Linked DNA regions of Mus musculus. Each later gene encodes a partner of the first gene's protein in a complex. Each region holds a gene or a part of one and is shown on either strand. Other genes may lie near its edges. The genes, in order: Nme5 and Dydc2.

Region 1 (4,489 bases):
TCCAGGACTCTCCTGCCCTGCTGCCCCAGCACTGAGATTACACACAGGTGCTGCCGTCACACCTGGCTTTTACATGCTTGCTGGGGATTCAAGCTCATGTCCCTGTACTTGCTCAGCAAACGCTGGGCCACAACCCCACTCCAACTCTGTTTTCTTTATTTTTTCATTCATTTCTTTATTTTTAAGGATTTAATTATTTTATACATGTCAGTACACTGTAGCTGTTTTCAGACACACCAGAAGAGGGCATCAGATCCCATTACAGATGGTTGTGAGCCACCATGTGGTTGCTGGGAATTGAACTCAGGATCTCTGGAAGAGCAGTCAGTGCTCTTACCACTGAGCCATCTCTCCAGCCCCCAGTTTGTTTTTGTTTTTGTTTTTTATTTTAAAACACTTAGAAAAATAGATAATATGATACTATATAAAAAATTTAGCTGGGGGGAGAGAATGGGGGACTTTTGGGATAGCATTGGAAATGTAAATGAGGAAAATACCTAATAAAAAATATTAAAAAAAAAAAAAAACTTAGCTGGAGCCAGGCAGTGGTGGCACACACCACTTTAATCCCAGCACTTGAGAGGCAGAGACAGGCAGATTTCTGAGTTCGAGGCCAGCCTGATCTACAGAGTGAGTTCCAGGACAGCCAGGGCTACACAGAGAAACCCTGTCTCAAAAAAACAAACAACAAAAAATTTAAGACAGTCTCAGGCTGTTGAGATGGCTCAGCATGTAAGACTGCTCTTCCGAAGGTCCTGAGTTCAAATCCCAACAACCACATGGTGACTCACAACCACCCGTAATGAGATCTGACGCCCTCTTCTGGTGTGTCTGAAGACAGCTACAGTGTACCTATTTATAATAATAAATAAATCTTTGGGCTGGAGCAAACAGAGACTGAGTGAACAGAGGTCCTAAATTCTATTCCCAACAACCACATAATGGCTCACATCCATCTGTACAGCTACATTTTATGTATATGTCCTCATATACATAAAATAAATAAATCTTAAAAAAATAAAAGTCTCACTATGTTACCCTGGCTGGCTAGCAACTTGCTATAGAGACCATACTGGCCTTGAACTCAACAGAAACATACATCTCTGCTTCTCAGTGCTGGGATAAAAAGCACCAAACTCAGCTATATTCATACAGTTAAGAGAATAAAAATGTTTTATTCTCTTAAAATTATAGTTCGAATAAAATTCAAACAAAATATTACAAACACTAAGCTCTATTTCATCTATTTATAAACTTGTCTTTTAGTTGGAGACCTTGTCTACTAGAGGACAGTTAAGAATTCTGTGAAGGGGCTGGCAAGATGGCTCAGCGGGTTAGAGCACTGACTGCTCTTCTGAAGGTCCTGAGTTCAAATCCCAACAGCCATATGGTGGCTCACAACCATCTCACATACATACATAAAAAAAAAAAAAAAGAATTCTGTGAAGCCCAAGATCACTGGGAACTCAGATCCTCCAGTCCTACCATGTCTAGGGCTGGGATCATATGTCACTACTTCCAAGGCCTGCATCCATGTATCCCAGGATGGCCTAGGACTCACTATGAAGTCCAAGCTAATCTCTCACTGTCTTCTGGGAGGCCTGACTTCTTTGACTTTGTTTACCAACTACAGAACAAATATTGGTTTTAACTCTAAATGTTCGCTGGCTGTGGCGGTGCTCACCTTTAATTCCAGCACAAGGGAGGAAGAGGCAGGGGGATCTCTGAGTTCCAGGCTACTTAGTGAGTTCCAAGTCAGCCAGGGCTATACGGAGAAATCTTTTCTTGAAAACAAAAACCAAAAGAAAAAAAACAAAACAAAACAAAAATAAACCTACTGACACCAGGAACCAAAATATGCACAGGAATATTGCACATAACCTAGAAGGGATAAGTAGGTTCTCATTTAATGATCCAGAATGTTAGAAACACCCAGGAGAAAGAATGTAGCTAAGCCATTGCCCCTCCCTAGAGCTGACTTGGGAAAGGGAAGGGAAGGGAAGGAAAGGCGGTTGGCTTCTTTGATGTCGTACTCTCCATCCTTTGAAGTGTGAAAAAACTTGTCTGTTACTTGTATCTTGTTTGTTTTTGAGACAGGTCTCCCAGGCTAAACTTGGAAGTCAGTACATAGCTGACCCGCCTCGAGCGCCTGATACCGAGATCACAGGCATGTGTGGAGCACATGCCCAGGTTATATATAACCTTTATATTTAGAAATGTAAACTTAATGTTACTAAGGATCTAATCGGGTGGCTACATTTATATAGGAATAACGGAAAACGAATAAAAGAGACAGCAGACGTTACCTGAATAATGGTGAATCCAGATCCCAGAATAATATCCTGTATCTCCTCTTCTTTGTCAACAACATCTGGCTTGATAAGGGCTAGGGTTTTTTCTACATATATCTGAGGCAGGGGCATTGATACCTCCATTCTGGCGTTTTCCGGTACAATTTTCAAATCTCCTAACCAGTTATCCACAGCAACGACAGGAGTCCTGGTCCCAAAATCAGCCTGTGGCAAAATTTGGTGCTAGATTTGATTAATTTATAAAAACGGAAACTGCTATGTTTTTCTACGAGAGCAGTTTTGCAAGAATCCGACTTGTACTGCACGCAAGGGGAGCCCTAGCCGCTTGACTGAGGTTGGAGGACGGATGGTCAGCGTCGCTCTCAGGGGTAAAGGAAGGCACCTAGCCGGCTGTCCTAGTGAAGGGGCCCCACCCCGTAGGGGCCACTTGGTGCAGGCTTAAGCATGACAGAAAAGATGAGTCCCCGAGCCCTCGGGAAATCTCCACGCAGGACCCTCCCAAGCTTTACTTACTCTGTTCAGGTGTTGTCAAAGCCCGTTGCTAAGAGACCCAAAGCTGGTTTCCTAACGGTGGCTGCAGAGGGCCAATTCCAGCCGCGTTTTAAATGGCTCTAGTTAGTTTTAATCTAGGGCAACAATTAGCCGTGCACATTTTATTCTTTTTGTACTACACACACTTCTAACGTTTCCCACACTAATTTTAAAAACAATTTTATTTACTGTGTAGTGTGTGTGATGTGATGTGATGTGATGTGATGTGATGTGGAGTTAAAACAACTTTGTGAAGTCCTTCCCGTGTTTCTGTGGTTTCCAGGGATGGAAATCAAGTGGTCATCTTTACCCTTTTAGCCTTAGCGCCAGACCTTCTCTAGATGACCTCCTTTCTTGAAGGATGTGTACCTTATCCACACGCTGTAAATGAGATAAATCAGACACCTCTCAGCTATTTACTTTTTCTTTCCTTCCTTTTCTTTTTCTTTTTTTTTTTCTTTCTTTTTCTTTTTTTTTTTGGGTGGTTGTGGTGGTGGTGCTTAGGATCAAATCTAGGCAAGCAATTAACCACTGAGCCACATCAAACACCTTCTGGGCTTCACCACGTGATGCCATCCCCTCTAGTTCCAGCTTCTTTAACCGTTTAGAAACCGCCTTTGCAAGGCCTGGTGGTCTGGTGGTGGAAACCCCTAATCCCAGCACACCATTGGAGGCAGAGGCTGGATGCAATGGGGACTTACAGGAAAGCCTAGGTTTTGATTCTCTGACTCAAAAACCAAGCAAAATCTTTAGTTTGCGAAATATTTATTTATAGAGAAACAAAGGTTCAATCAAATTACTTCTAAGTCTATGCAACAAAAATATGAGCAATATTTACACCATAAATCCAGATCTTGGTACCCCACCCCACCACACCCCACCCCTTTAAAAAATATTCCATCTGCAAGCACCATTGGCTTCTTAGTTAGGAGGCAAGGCATTACTGTCCTTATTTGGAAAGGGAATAGAGAGAGAGGGAGGGAAAGTCTTCACATCGTCTCTGGCCAGTCCTAAGAAGAGCTGTAACTTGAGAAAGAACCAGACTTGTAGTTCCAGGCTAACAAAGTCCCCTTTCTTCATCCACCACATTAGCTGGCACTCATTCCAGACTACTCAAGTCCTTCCTTTTATCCAGCCAAGTACTCAGAACCTACAGGAGCAATGCACAGACAGGAAACCATGAACCTTGAGGGCCAGGAGGAAGTGTATGCAATTGTATTTATTTTATTGGCAAACAGATAAAACTACACCTTTTAAAATTTGATGCTTTCCAAAGAGAAATCCTTACAAGTCTCCTTGAACTCACTCTGTCTTCTCCAAATTATGGGAAATATACATGTACATTAATGTCAACAGTTGCAACAAATGAGACATTGTCAGTGAGTCCAGCACCCGATTTGCTTCTAGCCTTACGACTCGGGCCTCTGAAAGCAGACCTGACCGTAACTAACTCCTCTCCGGCCGTCTTGCTGCTGGCCTTCCCAGACAACCTCACCCCACTGTGTGTTAAATCCGGATCCATTAAGACAAGGAACTTCCCCATCCCAAGAGTACCTTGGTCCTTCAGGCCCTTCAGTCACCTCTGAAGATAAACTCTAAAACACAAGCTCACCTCCGCACCATCTGAAGCCATCGCACAGGCTTCT
Region 2 (3,814 bases), on another chromosome or scaffold:
TGTGGCAATACTGGGAAATGACAAGAGTCCATAAGACTCCCCAGGAGCCTAGTGGAAGGAAGTAATGTCACTGGGTCACCATGCAGGAGCTCCCACCCCTCTCTTTTTCTGTGTGTGTGTGAGTGGGTGGGTGTGGGTGAGTGCGTGTGTATTTCGTGGGAGGGGTTAAGAATGTATGTCCCTCCCTTCTTTTTTCCTCCTTCTTTCCTTCCATTCTTTTCCTAAAGCGAGTTACTTTTACCATGCACCCTTTCTTACAATGTTTGGCCTCACTATAAGCCAAGAATGATGGACCAAAGGACCATAAAGCCAAGCCTTTCCCTCTTCAGTTGAAGAGATCAAGCATTTTTGTCACAGTAAGGGTGATCCAGAAATAGTTCTTATTCTTCCTGGAACGAATCTGACTTGTTAGAATGGATCTACTTTGAAGGTTAGATTGCGCTTGTATAATAGAGCATTTGATTTGGTGTGTCCTAGGTTCTCAGCATGGATACTGCCTACCTGAAGAACTGCTTTGGAACCGGCCTGACCCAGGCACTGGCAGAGGTGGCAAGAGTGCGGCCCAGTGACCCAATAGAGTACCTGGCTCACTGGCTTTACCATTATAGGAGTATAACTGTAGCTGAGGAAAAGGTGTGTTGTGTCCTGGGCCTGCTTAGGTAGGGTGCAGCTTGCTCAGAACAACTTGAAATCCAAGTTATAGTCCTGAGTTGGCCAGGAGAGTTTTTGGCTCATCTCCCTTCTGTGGATTGCTTTGTCCCAGATGTCTCTGAAGTATGCAGGACTCGGGGGGGTAAGGAGGAAATCTAGCTTAATGGGTTGTAGAATTGGGTTGGCAGCTACTGGCTAGCTAATGCTTGCAATAGTAAGTTCAGTAGGCCTCATTGGCCCAGGCCTATCTCACATGAGGGAGGGCTCCTTTCTAAGGGATGTGACCTGATTTGTCTCTGTCATATTACCCTAGAGAAGGCAAGAGGAGCTACAGCTTAAGGAAGCACGTGACAGAAGCGCTGAGGAAGCAAAAACAACAGAAATGCTGAAAGAAGAAGGCTATCAGATTCAGCAGAAGTGTGAAAAGTGTCACCAGGTAGGAAGGAAGAATGGAAAATTCAACTCAGCCTCTATCAGCCAGGGGTTTCAGGAAATCCTCAAGATGCCCAGCACAGGGTAAAACACACTAAAGCTAGCCTGAGCCTGCTTGTCCCTCATAGCCACATATCAAGCATGTCCTCTATGATGCAATACAGATGTCAGAATCCAACACCAAACAGTTGAAAGCAAGTCCGCCTTCTTCAGATTAGCAAGCAGAACTTTAGTATCCCGAGCTTATCCCCGTCCCGCGGGAAATAAACACAGGACACACCAGATTCTTCCACGGTTAACTTTTACTTCTATATCATATTGAGGTAGACAAAGAAAGCTCAGAAAGTGTGTGGCTTAAATACTTTTGGTGACGTGTCTAAACTAGGACTGGTAGCAACACCCATGATCCTCATGCACCCTGGGGATAGGTTAAAGCCCCCAGGGGTTGGGCAAAAGCCCTGGAGATGGACTGGTGACTTTGGCTGGCTGTGCTCTCGCAGCTGCGCACAAAGAGGTTTAGCACTATCTAGTGGTGGCACATATATTGCAGCCCTTTACATCTCCCCCTCTATAATTTATTAAAATGAGGCTGGTCTAGGCCCTGTAGTTATGTCCATCTGCTGTGGCCCCTGTTTTAGGTCGTTCCTCCAATGTCACAGCCTTACCCGTTATCGGGTAACCCTATCACCACCGGGCCCCATTGTCTTAGGTTGGTCTGTGCATGAGGAAAGTTGCCCGTCTTTGGATACCACAGTGCTGTGTGACTATAACTGCTAAATGGCCTAGGGTGAACTCTACAAAAGAGGCCAGCCAAAAATGAATTAGTGGGGAAATCATGATCACCTTATCACATGCAATGAGGAAACCTCAGCAATGTGCACGGACTGATCAATGATCGTTGAGTTTCTCTCATCTCAATGCAATGTATCCACAATTTTGTGGGATGCAAGGACAGAGAACTCAAATGCCAACTAATTCTTGAGAATAGATAGCCAAATTTCAGGGGAGGTGCCTTGCTCTATGGCAGCAAGTGCTTGAGCAATTACCACCTTGTCACGTTTCTGTTGAGATCTGAGTTTGCATACCAGCCATAGAAGAAACACTAGTCCACAACACAGGGTTGCGCCAAACAGGCCCACTCCCACCCACTCTTTAAAATGTGAGAATGCAGAGGACATCTAGGAAGAAAGTCCTTTGATTCCATCGATCAATGATGGGTCCACACGCGTAGAATTAATCGTCATCACTGCTGTACGTAACGCCTCAAGCTTTTCGTCAAATCCTTCAGACCAGTTTCCTGTAAGAAACAAAGACAATTCTTTAGATAGATTAGCTGCATGTGTCCAATTTTCATATTGGACACTAGTAATACATAAGGCTCCTGATTTCTTATCACAGCCAAGCTGAGCCAATTGGAGCAGAATTTCCAGTCTTTTCTCCACCAGGTCAATGCGCTGGTTCACTATCATTAGCCCACCTTTTAATTGGGCACTGAGCACTGAATGTTGATCGATCGCTTTTGTTACAGAGGAGGACAACTGCTCGACAGTTGTACTTGACTGGACTGATGTTGCCATAGCAATTCCAGCAGCTGTAGCTGCCGCCGCACTGGCAGCCATTGCCACCACAACGGCTGCAGTGATACCAAAGTCTCGCTTTTGCCTGTGTAAGGTTATGGTGGAAGGGATCTCCACGGGGACAGGAACCCATCGTGGAATCTTGGCAAGCATTGCACGGCTGGCCCACTTAAGGCTCCAGCATTGTGACATCCAGCAGGTTTCATTAGTGCAGGATTCAAAGGAACCATTAGAAAGAATAAACAAGAAAGGGGTATACACACAAACTGGAGTAGGTAAATAATTAGTCTGCTTTATCAATGTCTTATTAAATCCAGTGATTTCAGTAGTAGAATTTTGATAAATGGTTCTATCAGGTAACAGAACTTGATGAAACTGAGCAAATTTTGAAATACCATTAAAAATCGTTTTTCCAGCAGCTCCTCCTTGGAGGAAAACCAAGGGATTAAGATCTGTACAGCTACCATTAATCCCACAAAGTACCCATTTATGAAAAGGATGCATTCTAAAGTCCTGTATGAAAAGTCCCTTTTTCATAACATATTTCTGCTCTGGGTCATCTATCATGTTGGGAGAAAAGGAAAAAGTTTTACTCTGATCTGCCCAACGAGTGACAGAGGATTGACAATCAGACCAAGGCAGGATCAGCCCTTCATCTTCCAAGCTACAATGAGGAGCCATTTTTGGTTGATAGGGACGTTCTTTGTCTGAAAAGTTAGGTGGTAGAAATGTACCATTAACCCAGGTTGTCTCATGCCAGAAGGTCCGATTTGTAAGGGTTATATCTCTGTTGGAAGTGTTTTGGGTTATTTTCACCACGCCTCCTCGATACTTAAAAAACATTCCCAAAGCTCGGCTGGTGAGTCTGATACAATTTCCTAATTCATAAATTTGGAAACAGAGAGAACCTCGTTCCCTTAAAGAGCGTTTTTCTCCCAATGGTGCCCAGATAGGGTCAAATGGTAGGTATGGCAGGCCTAAAGTTTTATTGGTCGTAAAAAACTTGGGAAAAACAGCTGTATTATGACGAACAGGCATAGGCTTAGGGAAAGCAGACAGAATTGCCCATCTATACTCTCCAAATATACTAGGAACCCAAATCCACAGAGGTAGCATGAGGATTAGAGGTAGTTTCCAAGGGATCCATCTGGGAG

The links.
Region 2: the proteins of Nme5 (region 1) and Dydc2 are in contact, whole or in part, in a cryo-EM structure (PDB 8X2U), measured with the Mus musculus proteins. Residues at the interface, in NP_542368.2 of Mus musculus: Arg140, Ala145, Val146, Ile147, Ile151, Pro152, Ala156, Ala157, Tyr160, Ile161, Tyr164, Val165, Thr168, Leu169, Leu173, Leu176, Cys177, Lys180, Pro181, Asp183, Pro184, Tyr185, Leu186, Leu188, Ala189, Asp190, Leu192, Met193, Asn196, Pro197; in NP_001347537.1 of Mus musculus: Asp2, Tyr5, Leu6, Cys9, Phe10, Gly13, Leu14, Leu18, Val21, Ala22, Arg23, Val24, Arg25, Pro26, Asp28, Pro29, Ile30, Glu31, Leu33, Ala34, His35, Leu37, Tyr38, Tyr40, Arg41.

The regions. Positions count from the first base shown.
Region 1 is NC_000084.6:34,576,252-34,580,740, forward strand, and holds the start of Nme5 (nucleoside diphosphate kinase homolog 5), read right to left. Parts: upstream 2,865-4,489; 5' UTR 2,826-2,864; exon of another isoform or gene 2,517-2,825; 5' UTR 2,436-2,516; coding exon 2,307-2,435; intron 1-2,306. Other genes in the region: Brd8dc (uncharacterized protein LOC271508), read right to left, coding at 3,943-3,993. UniProt on the Homo sapiens protein: Functions as part of axonemal radial spoke complexes that play an important part in the motility of sperm and cilia. Does not seem to have nucleoside diphosphate kinase (NDPK) activity.
Region 2 is NC_000080.6:41,059,168-41,062,981, reverse strand, and holds part of Dydc2 (DPY30 domain-containing protein 2), read left to right. Parts: intron 1-33; exon of another isoform or gene 34-61; intron 62-477; 5' UTR 478-486; coding exon 487-633; intron 634-964; coding exon 965-1,087; intron 1,088-3,814.